2 linked regions of the Arabidopsis thaliana genome follow. The protein of the gene in region 2 interacts with the protein of the main gene of each other region in a pairwise test. Each region holds a gene or a part of one and is shown on either strand. Other genes may lie near its edges.

Region 1 (5,502 bases), on a different chromosome or scaffold from region 2:
GCATCTGGACGGTTGGGGTGTTTTTCACGAGGGATATCAGCCGTCAGATTCTGATTTTAGATCTGAAAAGCTAGCTCTCTGGGGAATAGAGAAACAAAGATCAATTAATTTATTTTTATTTTTTTACTTTGTATGTTGTATTTTATTTTTTGTTGCAGTCAACAACAACATTAAAGAATGACATGCAACGTCAGCAACTGGTCAATATACTCTTTTCAAAATTTTCTCAATCTTGTGGTCAAAATAAGCATTAACTGTTGTTCCACTTTCCACGTACATTTTATGAGGCAGATTCACAAATTTTACCAAACAGTATGATAATTGTATGAAGTAATTTGAGAAGACTATTGACCGCAAAGAGATTGTCCTTTGTTGGATATCGATTTTTGAGTATCGATTACAAAACTAAATTACCAAGTAATTAATTTATAAGAGAAATAGAAAATGAGTAAAATTTAAAAATTATTGAGAGATAGAAAATAGATCCCTTTAAATTTAGCTTATAATTCGAAAAATGTGCATGTTTTTATCTTAATCACTTACCGTGAGAAAGTATAGGAGTAAAATGATGTTATCGTAAAGTGCCAAACAACAAATCAAACTTGTGCTTAGCAAAAAAAAAAAAAAAAAAAAAACTGGTATCATTTGAGAACATGACTTAAAACGCAGCCGTTTAAATAAAAAAAGTTGGTTTCTCTGCATCCCATGTCTAGAGTCTAGAAGAGTGGTCTCGCTGCCGATCTCAGCAGGGAGAATAATTTGGCTCGGCTCAATCACTCTTGTGGATCAAATGCTCTTCTTCTTCTTCTTTTGTGTTTCAAGTCTTGAGAAGAAATCTAATCTCAAATTATTAGGATTTTGCACCATGTTTCCATCATCTCAGTTTATAGATATAATCAAATAATGAAATTATAGAGATGCATTGTGTCATTAGCTACTGATATGAATTCTAGCATAACTGATTCTATTATCTTTTTGTTCTTGAAGATCACAGTAGTGTGTAATAAAAAGGGGCATTGCTGCAGAAATATAGTCATCTCTCAGGTTAGCAGCTCTCTTTCACTTGTTAAAACTAGATTTTACCATCAACTGTATACTTCTTCCTTCTGTTTTGCCTGTCTATCAACTACAACATCTGCAAAAGTATCAGAAATTAATAGTAATGAAGAGTTTGGATATCTCGCAATTGTATCAGGATTCAAATAAGTTGTAATGAATTGGAATATACACTCGTAAATCACACACACATACAAATACACACTCACATGTTCTCTTATACACAAGCAACCCTAAAACACATCAACCATGTTCTGATTCTTTTCCTTCAAAATAGATACACAAAGTCTGTCTCCACACGCTCATTCCTCAGGCCTTACCTTCAGCTCTCGCAAAGGTGAGCCCAACGCAAGCATCAACAAATTCATTATCTATGAAATCAGTTGAGAATATCTGCAGTTTATCAGCACATCCTCTTTTTACACACTCTATGATGAATACCTTGGCGTAGCAATGTATCCTCTTAGTCACCGGTTTTACACACATTATTGGGTTATCGGGCTGCGGCGTCACTGTGTTCTCCACCCGGTAAAAGAATTTCCTTGAAGTAGCTGGTTGCTGCTGGCTCAAATGCTTGATGTTGCTCTCGAATTTGGTCGATGGAAGATCTGTATCGATCCAATTGTCTTTAAGGTAACCAGCGCTCCAAAGAGGATCACCATGCTTAGGCTGAGGCGATTTCCTCGGTTTCCAAACGCAGATCACTCTCTTGGGAAGCAGCTCAGCGACTGTCTTGGAGAACACGTGATCGTCCTGGTGAATCAGATGCTCTCCAAGCTGTTCCACAAGATACTTATCAAACTCCGGTGGGTCTTCGTGTCCAAACTCTGTTCTGATCTCAAGAATGACAATCTCCGACTCTGTTTCGGATAGAAACCGTTTGAGATCGGCCAAGACAACGTCGACACTATAAGTCTTGAGGATACCGTGGCATACACGGCGATCTTCTTGGACACGAATGTCAAGGACTCGAGTACCCGCCACGAGCTGGTTATAGATGGAGAGAGATTGGCACTTAGCAAAGGGACGAGACACGAATCGGATACCGATTTTGTTGGTGGCAGAGTCGTGCGTCCCAGGCCAGACGATCTTGTTGATGTGAAGCTTTTCAGGTCCAACGCCGGCCATCCAGTTTTTACGATCGGAAGGCATGTAATCACACCCCGGAAACTCGCAGCCGCACGATTTCTCGAGATCGGTGAGGGCTTTCTTCTCCGTGGAGATGGCTTTTCGCCGCTCGAGTTGTTTGGAAAGGTGAGAGCCCATTGCTGAGGATTAACCCTTTCCCTTTGCTCTCTCTTCTCTGATCACTATATTGAATTCTGTTCTCTCTTGTTTATAAAATGTTCCATGCCTTCTTTATCAATAAACCTTTACTCATAAGTCGTTATGATTGTTTTTTATTTACTTATTATTGGTTTGAAGAAGTTACGAATTATACGTTAATCTTTTAATAATTACGCTACTTTCTCAAAACACCGTTGACATATTCGCAAATTAGAAGTAACTTTCAACTTTTAACTTAACAAAAACCATAGAAAAAAAGTAGTAGCGTTTAATATGTAAGATTAACTGTTACAATTTTTATTGTGGGAACATTTTAGTGTTATAAATGTGAACTGATTGATTAGTTGAGATATATTGAAAGAGTGGTTGAGTTGTAATTGATGGGAGAGTGGGTTTACAATGTATGGTAGGTCCATTTTTGTTGTATAGCTGTCTTCACTGTTTGTTATTTGTCAATTTCTAATGCCTGGCTATTTTCCGACGTGAAAGATATCAATACAACGTGATTTTTATTTCTTGGAAGACACATATTCAAATTTTCTATGAAATAAAAGTCGTTCCTAAAATTTAAACAAGGCATCGATAATTAATATTTTGGATAAAATTCGGATAGGATCCGATGGAAAACCAATCATATACACTCACAGGCCCTATCATGTCTTTTGTAAGACTATCTCAAATATCACGATCCACACAACTAAGATATGTAAAAGAGATTACTAGTATAGATTTTGGGAATTGAGAAGAAAGATTGCAACATAATTAATCAATTTTGATCTCTTGATCATGCAAAATTCAGTTTTGATCTGAATAATTGATTTAGTTGGCCTTTTTATTGTTTTAATCGGAACATATGAATCGGTTAATAATGATAAACAGTAGCATCATATCGGAGAACAGCATCACCAGTCTTCATGTCAATCTTATTTGTTTTTACTTTGACAAAACCTCTCGCCATTCTGAATTTCCCACGGCCACCAACAATCGCGATTTCTCGCTCTCCGACCTCTTCCGCCACCGGATTCCTCGAGAAGATACTGATCGAGCTTCCATTAAACTTCCCTGCCGTGAAAGCCAAATCAGCGTACATGACGATCGTGAATTTGCTCAAGTCTTTGCACCCGGAGACATACATCCCTTGACCATTCCCGATCTCTTTCGAGTGTTTCTCCGGCCCGACGGTGAGCGGATCGTCTATCACAAACAGGCTTCCAAAACCTACCGGCGAAGCTGAGCCACCGGTTAGATTTGCATGTGCGATTCTAACGGCGGTAGGATTTTGGCCACTGAGAGTATCATGGAGATAAAATCTGACACGTGTCACTTTCTCCTCATTCAGTTTAGCCGGTTTGGTGTTGCCATAGTAGGATTCGTGACGCGCCATAACGGCCATGCTCAAACAGAGTGTGAAAAATATTATTAATGTGCTCTTCATAATTTATAAACTTAAGGAATTGATATGAAAGTTTACTATCCAAATGAATCTAGAACATATATATATATATATAGTTTGATCACTTGTAATTTTAGGAATGTTTACAGGAAAAAGATTTTCTCCTATAAAAAGAGGGTATATGTCATTATTTAGAAAATCTATTTGATATTTTTCTATATAACAAAAAGAAAATAGTAAATGCATATGATCCAGGTATTAACTTTGAAAATTTTCTGTCTGATATTGATGATATGTTCAAAATTGTAATAGTGTTTGACAACTTTGAAAACATGTAAAGAGATTTAATTATTTTAGAAAATTATGATTCTAAAAAGCTTTGAGATTCTGCCAAATAACTAGCATAAACTTTATTCGAGGTAAGGATATGTACCACGCGCACCTTAGGAGCGTTGAGCGCGTGTTATCAAAATGGGTAAGCTATATAGTCCAGCCAAAATGCCTATTTTTGATCAATTTTAATATATTCCCAGCTCTAAAGCGCGTGGTATTATCATATTCCCCGTCCCACTACATTCTGTGTGTTTGTACAGGTTGGATTTATTCCTCACCACATATATCTTAAGTGGACTGCACCGATCAAGAAGATTATAGAATACGGGCCAGATCTGATACTGGGTCGGGTTAAGTTGGGCCAATTGGGCTCTTAATAACAAACATCACTCTCTCTACGCACCATTGATCACTGATCAACTAAACGCTCCCAAATTCAAAGACAGATTTAAACCAATAATGAAATTGTACAACTCGTAAAAAATAAAAGACACCCCAAAACCCTAAAAATTGCAACAGAGTATGTGGTAAAAAAAAGAGACAGAGAGATATTATAAAAAAAAAGACCCTACCAAAATTTTCTCTAGAGTTCCCCCACACAACTTAACTTATCCAAATTAAACAACACAAATTCTCAGAAGCTAAACTTCAAGAACCCAAACTATCACAATCCACAAAAATGCCTTTTGACTCTTTAGATTTTGTCCTCCGTCTCTTCCTTCTTTGCCTCTTCTACAGCCGGTTCGCCACCAGTCTCTTCCTTCTTAGCCTCTTCTACAGCCTGTTCACCCTCAGTTTCTTCCTTCTTAGCCTCTTCTACAGCCGGTTTGTCCTCAGTCTCTTCCTTCTTTGCCCCTTCTACAGCTGGTTCCTCCTCTTGAGCATCCTCCTCAGAATGCTCCGTGCTTCAATGTTCAAAGACAAAATAATTTAAGAGTAAGAAACATGCTTACAAAATTTACAACTTCCCACAATACTCAACAACACTAACTAAAAAACCCATTACCATCACGCAGAAAGAGAAAAACAGAGCTCTCTAAACATGGGATGCCAGATCAAAAAAACAAAACAGAAAGAGAGATCCAATCTTTCAGCTTCACTTCAAGACATCAACTTCCATGTATGAATGTAGAGAAAAACTAATAACACCAAATTTAACATATTAACTACTATACTAATGCAGTGATCCATAACACATGAATGATCATCCAAAATCTCACTGTTTATAGCATATATATGAATCCCTATCTCCCACAATATACACAATTTCTTAGACCCATGTCAATAATTTCCACAGACAGTAAGAGATCAATACTTTGCCCGACTAAGATGGTATAATCAGAAAACAAGCAGGCAAACTAAAGAAACGAATCAACCAAGTTTTATTATAGTCAAAGAAGATATATACCTTTTCCTCCAACTTCTTTCAATAC
Region 2 (5,875 bases):
TAGATGCCTATATTATTGGGGTTTGATCAGCCGATGTTTGTTGTATTTGGGTTGATTTTCCACATAATTCATTTAAAGCATCATCCATTAAAAACGAAAAAACATTTCATATATGGGTTACAGAAATTTTATTCGATGAGAAATGTCAAAATATAAACGAGAAATTGTGATGTGATGCAATATTGCTAGTGAATTATGAATATCTATTGTTCATGACTACTGTATACATATTACTATAAATGTCCATGGATATATTTATAGTAAATAATATAAAGAAGTCAGGGGAATGTGATTGCAAATTTGCATACACCGTATGGATCGTACGATGAACCAAAACTATATTAGGCACCAATCAATCAAAATTTTTAAGAGAAACCAAAGTTGCTTCAATAGTAATTAGAGATGGGGAAATTAAGGTGGAGGAGAACCACAAAAGTGGCACCTCTCATATTTTAAATTATTATGGACCAAATAAAAGAAAGAGGGAGAGAGAGAAACAAATACTCACGAATAAGAACAAGAAGGATTTAACAAACCCATGATCATTGTTATCATTAGCCTACCACGTCACTCCTCTTTTGTCCATTTCTTCCCACTTTTAATATCTGTTTTAACTTACCCTCGAAAAATGGAGAATTGTTTCGTAATTTTCTCAACCTTTTCTCCAAAATATTCAGATTCCTTTCCTCATAACTATAGAAACAAACGTAACAAAAGAAAATGTAATATTCAACCAATCTCTGAATAATATGCATATTACTGCATAACTAGATCATTATACATGCATCCTTATTTCAAAAAATTAACGAGAAAAAGTTTATAAACATTTTAGAAAATTATATATAACTGGAATCAACAAAAAGGACTAATTGTTATTTAATATACTAATATAAGAAATCCTGAAAATAGGGATTAAAACAGGAGACGAAGAGCAAGAAACAGAAAATACTCTAAAGACACGAAACCAAAGAGAGGGTGTTGCCTAGTCAGCATCTGATGACGTGGCATAGCTCTCGTGTGTGTGTGTCTCTACAAACTCTAAAGAAACGGCTATAAGTGGAAGCGTTTGGAGAGGTCACGTGATTTGCACAAATTTTTCGTTTTCATGCTATTATTATCGTATTATTAATCACGACTCTCTCTCGTAACGCATCATTTTTTTCGTTTAATTTACCTTAATTTATTCTCACGCGCGACGCTCCGTTTCGACGCGTGGAGTTTTTGCTCAAAACATGCATGATTGTTAACGTTTTCTTTTTGTACAAGGAAAAAAAAAAACGTGTACCTCTAGACAAGAGTTAGAGAGAAATGAGAAACTGGACCAGGAGATGTGAATGGTTTCATTCCTACTTTGGTTAATCATTGCAAATGCCAATAATTATATAGAGAACGGCGTCAATTTTCTGCAAAGAAATATCTTTACTGGTACTTTTTTGTGCTACCTATAAATGTGTTGGTTTAATCTAGCCATCACACGTATATTTCTAGCTATGTTAGATCTTTAATCATTCTCACCTAGACTCCTTTACAAAAACCAATATAGATGAAACCAGTCCCACCCCTCTCATTTAAGTCATAGTATATATTTGTGTAACGAGAATACAGACAAAACAATTAAATTCATTGTAATCATACTTGAAAATATAGTCAATGAAATTAATTATCCTACATTTTTGAAAACAGTGTCTATAATTATTATGTACATTGAATAGATACGTGGGATATTTTGGATTCCAGTTCATATATATGTAGATTAAAAATAAAGAGAGGGCGATAAAGCCTAAAGAAAATGTACAAATCGTAATGTAATCTAGTGATGATTTCCTCTATATAGGTTGATGTTGGGTAGACTTTTGGTCACCATGATATTTATCTATCGTCTATAAAGTACAAAACTGTGGTACTAAATGTGATTTATGAAAGCTAATTAAAAAGAAGGCGTGAAGAAAATGAAATCGTAATAGACGACGCGCGTACGAGATGAGAGTAGTGGAGGAAAGAAGTAAGATTGAGTGAATGATAAAATGCAAACGCTACCTACTAATATCTCCACTTGTCATGCAACCAGACTGAGTTCGTTTTCCTTTTCGAGTCTTATTTTTTTGTTTTTTATTCTACTCAACACGTTACACGCTTCTAATAAACTCTAAACATTAAAATCAAAATATTTTGACTACAATGGTTATTTTGGAGCTATATATAAACCACCTGAGCCTCCTCAGTTTCCTCCATGAAATAAAAAGAAGCATCTTCTAGAGAGAGACATATAGAGAAAGAGAGAGAAAGCTTTAGGGTTTCAAAAAAAAAAAAAAAGAGACCCTTTAGAAATCTCCTAACAGGAAAGTTTTCTCAATTGCTATAGAAAATGGGAGTCATGATCAATCACCATTTCCTCGCTTTTATCTTCGGCATCTTAGGTAATGATAAATCCACAAAGCCAAATCCTAGTTTGTTCATCATCTCTTGTCTTTACTGTTATTCTTATGTTTTTTACTTGTTAACAAAAGGAATTTGCAACAGCAACTATAATGTTGCAACTTTACATCTAAGCTTCTGTTTTCAAAACAATATATACTATGTGTAGGGTTCCATTGTAGTTCTAGCTTAGAGTTAATTAAACAACAGAGTACTAAGAAATGAATTGAAATTCTGTAGTGTTCATCATGACTCACCTAACAAGTTTCAAGTTTTTTCTTCATTAACTAAACTAAGTCATTTGGGATTATAAATGATCTTCTAATTCTTTAGTTAAATCCCAAACTACCAAAAAATAAATCAATACGTAAGCTATTAATTAAATTGAAATCGTCACGCATTGTTGTCCATGTTATATCATACTCAATACGTGTATAGTGGTTAATGCACAATTTAATTCCCCGCTGAGGTTGGTTAGAGAACCCGTACTGATTCATATGTACTTATGTTTCCACAAAACTAGAAGCCTCTTAATTATACAATTGACTCATTTTTTTATTTTTACATGGAATTACAGGAAACGTGATATCCTTCCTTGTATTCCTCGCTCCAGTGTAAGTAGATTCAATTTACTTTTTTTTATTTCATTTTATTTATTTGTTAGTTTTGAGAATGATTCTGATGATTTCGTTTTTCAAAATATTCAGGCCAACTTTTTATAGAATATACAAGAGAAAATCGACGGAAAGTTTCCAGTCGCTACCGTACCAAGTGTCGCTATTTAGCTGCATGCTATGGCTCTACTACGCATTGATTAAGAAAGACGCTTTTCTCCTAATTACCATCAACTCCTTTGGCTGCGTCGTGGAGACTCTCTACATAGCCATGTTCTTCGCTTACGCCACCAGGGAGAAAAGGGTAAAATTATTCCCCTCTCCTCCTCCTTAATTCCGCTATGTAATTAAATACGAATATTAAATGAATAATATGCGTTTTTGGCAGATATCGGCTATGAAGTTGTTCATAGCAATGAACGTTGCCTTCTTCTCGTTGATTCTAATGGTAACACATTTCGTGGTTAAAACTCCTCCCCTCCAAGTCTCTGTACTCGGCTGGATTTGTGTTGCCATTTCTGTTTCTGTTTTCGCTGCCCCTCTAATGATCGTGGTAAGCTAGCGTTATTTAATTTAATTTGTAAATTTATTTCTAGAACATTATATTTTGAAATAAAATGTTAAATATAAATTCTTGATGTGAATAGGCTCGTGTGATAAAGACAAAGAGTGTGGAGTACATGCCCTTCACGCTTTCTTTCTTCCTCACTATAAGCGCCGTTATGTGGTTCGCTTATGGTTTATTCCTCAATGACATATGCATAGCGGTAAGCAATTAAGCATCTATATTATTATTTATTTTTACCGTTTGCTAAATTTTTTAAATATTCGGTAAAAAGGTTATAACTGACCTATTTTGTATGGCTTTGATGATATTTTGTAGATTCCAAACGTGGTGGGATTCGTACTAGGGCTGTTGCAAATGGTTTTGTACTTGGTTTACAGGAACTCAAATGAGAAACCAGAGAAGATTAATTCGTCAGAACAACAACTTAAGAGTATTGTCGTGATGAGTCCGTTAGGTGTGTCGGAAGTGCACCCAGTTGTGACGGAATCGGTGGACCCACTCTCTGAAGCCGTTCATCATGAGGATCTGTCCAAAGTTACTAAAGTGGAGGAGCCGTCAATTGAAAACGGCAAGTGCTACGTGGAGGCTACTCGTCCTGAAACCGTTTGAAGTGTCAATATGTGAAGCTCAAAATATTGCTCTCTCTCTCTCTCTCTTTCACTCTCTTTCTCTCGGCTCGTCAGGGCCGGCCAAAGGAAGAAATTGTATTATCGGCGGGGTGGTTTGTTAAATTTCCATTTTTGTTTCGTATCTTATTGATGATGTACTACTTGCATAAAGTTTTGTGTTTATTTGAATATATTATCTTTGTGTAAGTTGTAACTAGTGCTCTTTGGAAAATTTGATATAATAAACCTCAATAGCTTAATTACTCCTACTAATAAGCTTTTTTTTTGTTAAAACTAATAAGCTTGTTGACCACCCTTTTTTTTTATGATTGATTACATTTGTCTTAAAGATGTCGCCGTCAGTTAGATAACGAATGGTCTTGTGCCATTGACGACATACTGTTTAACGATTTTGAGAATTAACAAATATATAAAACTCATGAGTCAGAAGAAAAAGTATGTACATAAGTTTGTGATCTAAACTGTCCCCATCAAGTATATACAACCAAAGCAGATTATATTCTTTTTTAAACGAATTGTGTTTTTCTTTGTAGAGTCTAATTTTCAAGTGTACAAAAAATCATCACCGTCCAGTTTTGGAAACGAATAAAAAATTGTCAAGACGTCCCAATGGTCTGATGAAAATGTATTGCAAGCATATCTCACACTTCCAAGTGACAATCACTATATTATTTGCTTATTCGTAACAAAATATACAAGATTACTTAGTTATCTACAAATATTATAACCATCCTATGATTATATTACCCCAAAATATTTTAATATAACTATAAATAACTCGTAAGAAATAATAATATGAAATATATATACTTGTTAACTAACTTACATTTTAAACCGTAACGACAAAATCCGACAAAGAATCATATATATTATAGCGAATTTTGACAAATTACGCATGCCAGTGTAGGATACGCTATGTAATTTATAAAATTAGTATGTCTCTTGATGGAAAAAAAGACAGAGGTTTTTAGTTAATAATTTTTCCTCTTACTTAAAAAATTCTAAAATTTAGGACTATCTAGTAAAGAATAGATTCTCCGAGTATTTAGAGGCCAAGAAATGATATTCACCAAAACTAAAACATACGGGAAGTTTCGACATCCATTTCAATAGACTACACAGTACACTGTCAATAGTAAAAAAAAGTCCCGACAAAAACTTGATAAGACCAACTAAAATCTTACAATCTGAATAAGCCATCCTTAAAATAATTGTCAGATTGCGAGGGCATGTGACCCACGTTGTCCGAAACTCCGCGATTGTGGACATTAGCCACACTACTGAACCACATGAATAGAGTCCAGAAACACTTAATATTGGATCTTTGCTATTCAATCTTTCAATGAGACGTAAACATCGCCACATGTGACTCATCATGAAACACATATCTGTCAAAATTTAAAAATAGAAAGACTACAAAATTTACATGAACAATCTTCACAACTCTCCAGAATCTCAATTAGAGAGTTTTGGTTATTAACCTTTGTGCCCATATTGCAACATCACATATATAATGTACAGCAACTCGTCGTCCCAATGTTTTTTTGTTTGTTTTCTATGTTTGACAATAAATGAGAGTCTTGAGAGAAATAAGAACAAAAAAGGGTCAAGACCGACCCAAACCGGTTCTACCCGGTACTGTTGCTCTC

What was found. Proteins that work in one complex are often made in the same cells at the same time.
Region 1: the proteins of SAG29 (region 2) and AT4G38690 interact in a protein complementation assay, tested with the Arabidopsis thaliana proteins (one large-scale study listed by BioGRID).

Annotation. Positions count from the first base shown.
Region 1 is NC_003075.7:18,073,378-18,078,879, forward strand, and holds AT4G38690 (PLC-like phosphodiesterases superfamily protein), read right to left. Parts: upstream 2,581-5,502; 5' UTR 2,323-2,580; coding exon 1,366-2,322; 3' UTR 943-1,365; downstream 1-942. Other genes in the region: AT4G38700 (Disease resistance-responsive (dirigent-like protein) family protein), read right to left, coding at 3,206-3,778; AT4G38710 (glycine-rich protein), read right to left, coding at 4,764-4,974, 5,170-5,208, 5,478-5,502.
Region 2 is NC_003076.8:4,179,662-4,185,536, reverse strand, and holds SAG29 (senescence-associated gene 29), read left to right. Parts: upstream 1-2,182; 5' UTR 2,183-2,365; coding exon 2,366-2,417; intron 2,418-2,992; coding exon 2,993-3,029; intron 3,030-3,122; coding exon 3,123-3,333; intron 3,334-3,417; coding exon 3,418-3,582; intron 3,583-3,676; coding exon 3,677-3,796; intron 3,797-3,912; coding exon 3,913-4,206; 3' UTR 4,207-4,495; downstream 4,496-5,875. Other genes in the region: PBS1 (Protein kinase superfamily protein), read right to left, coding at 5,855-5,875.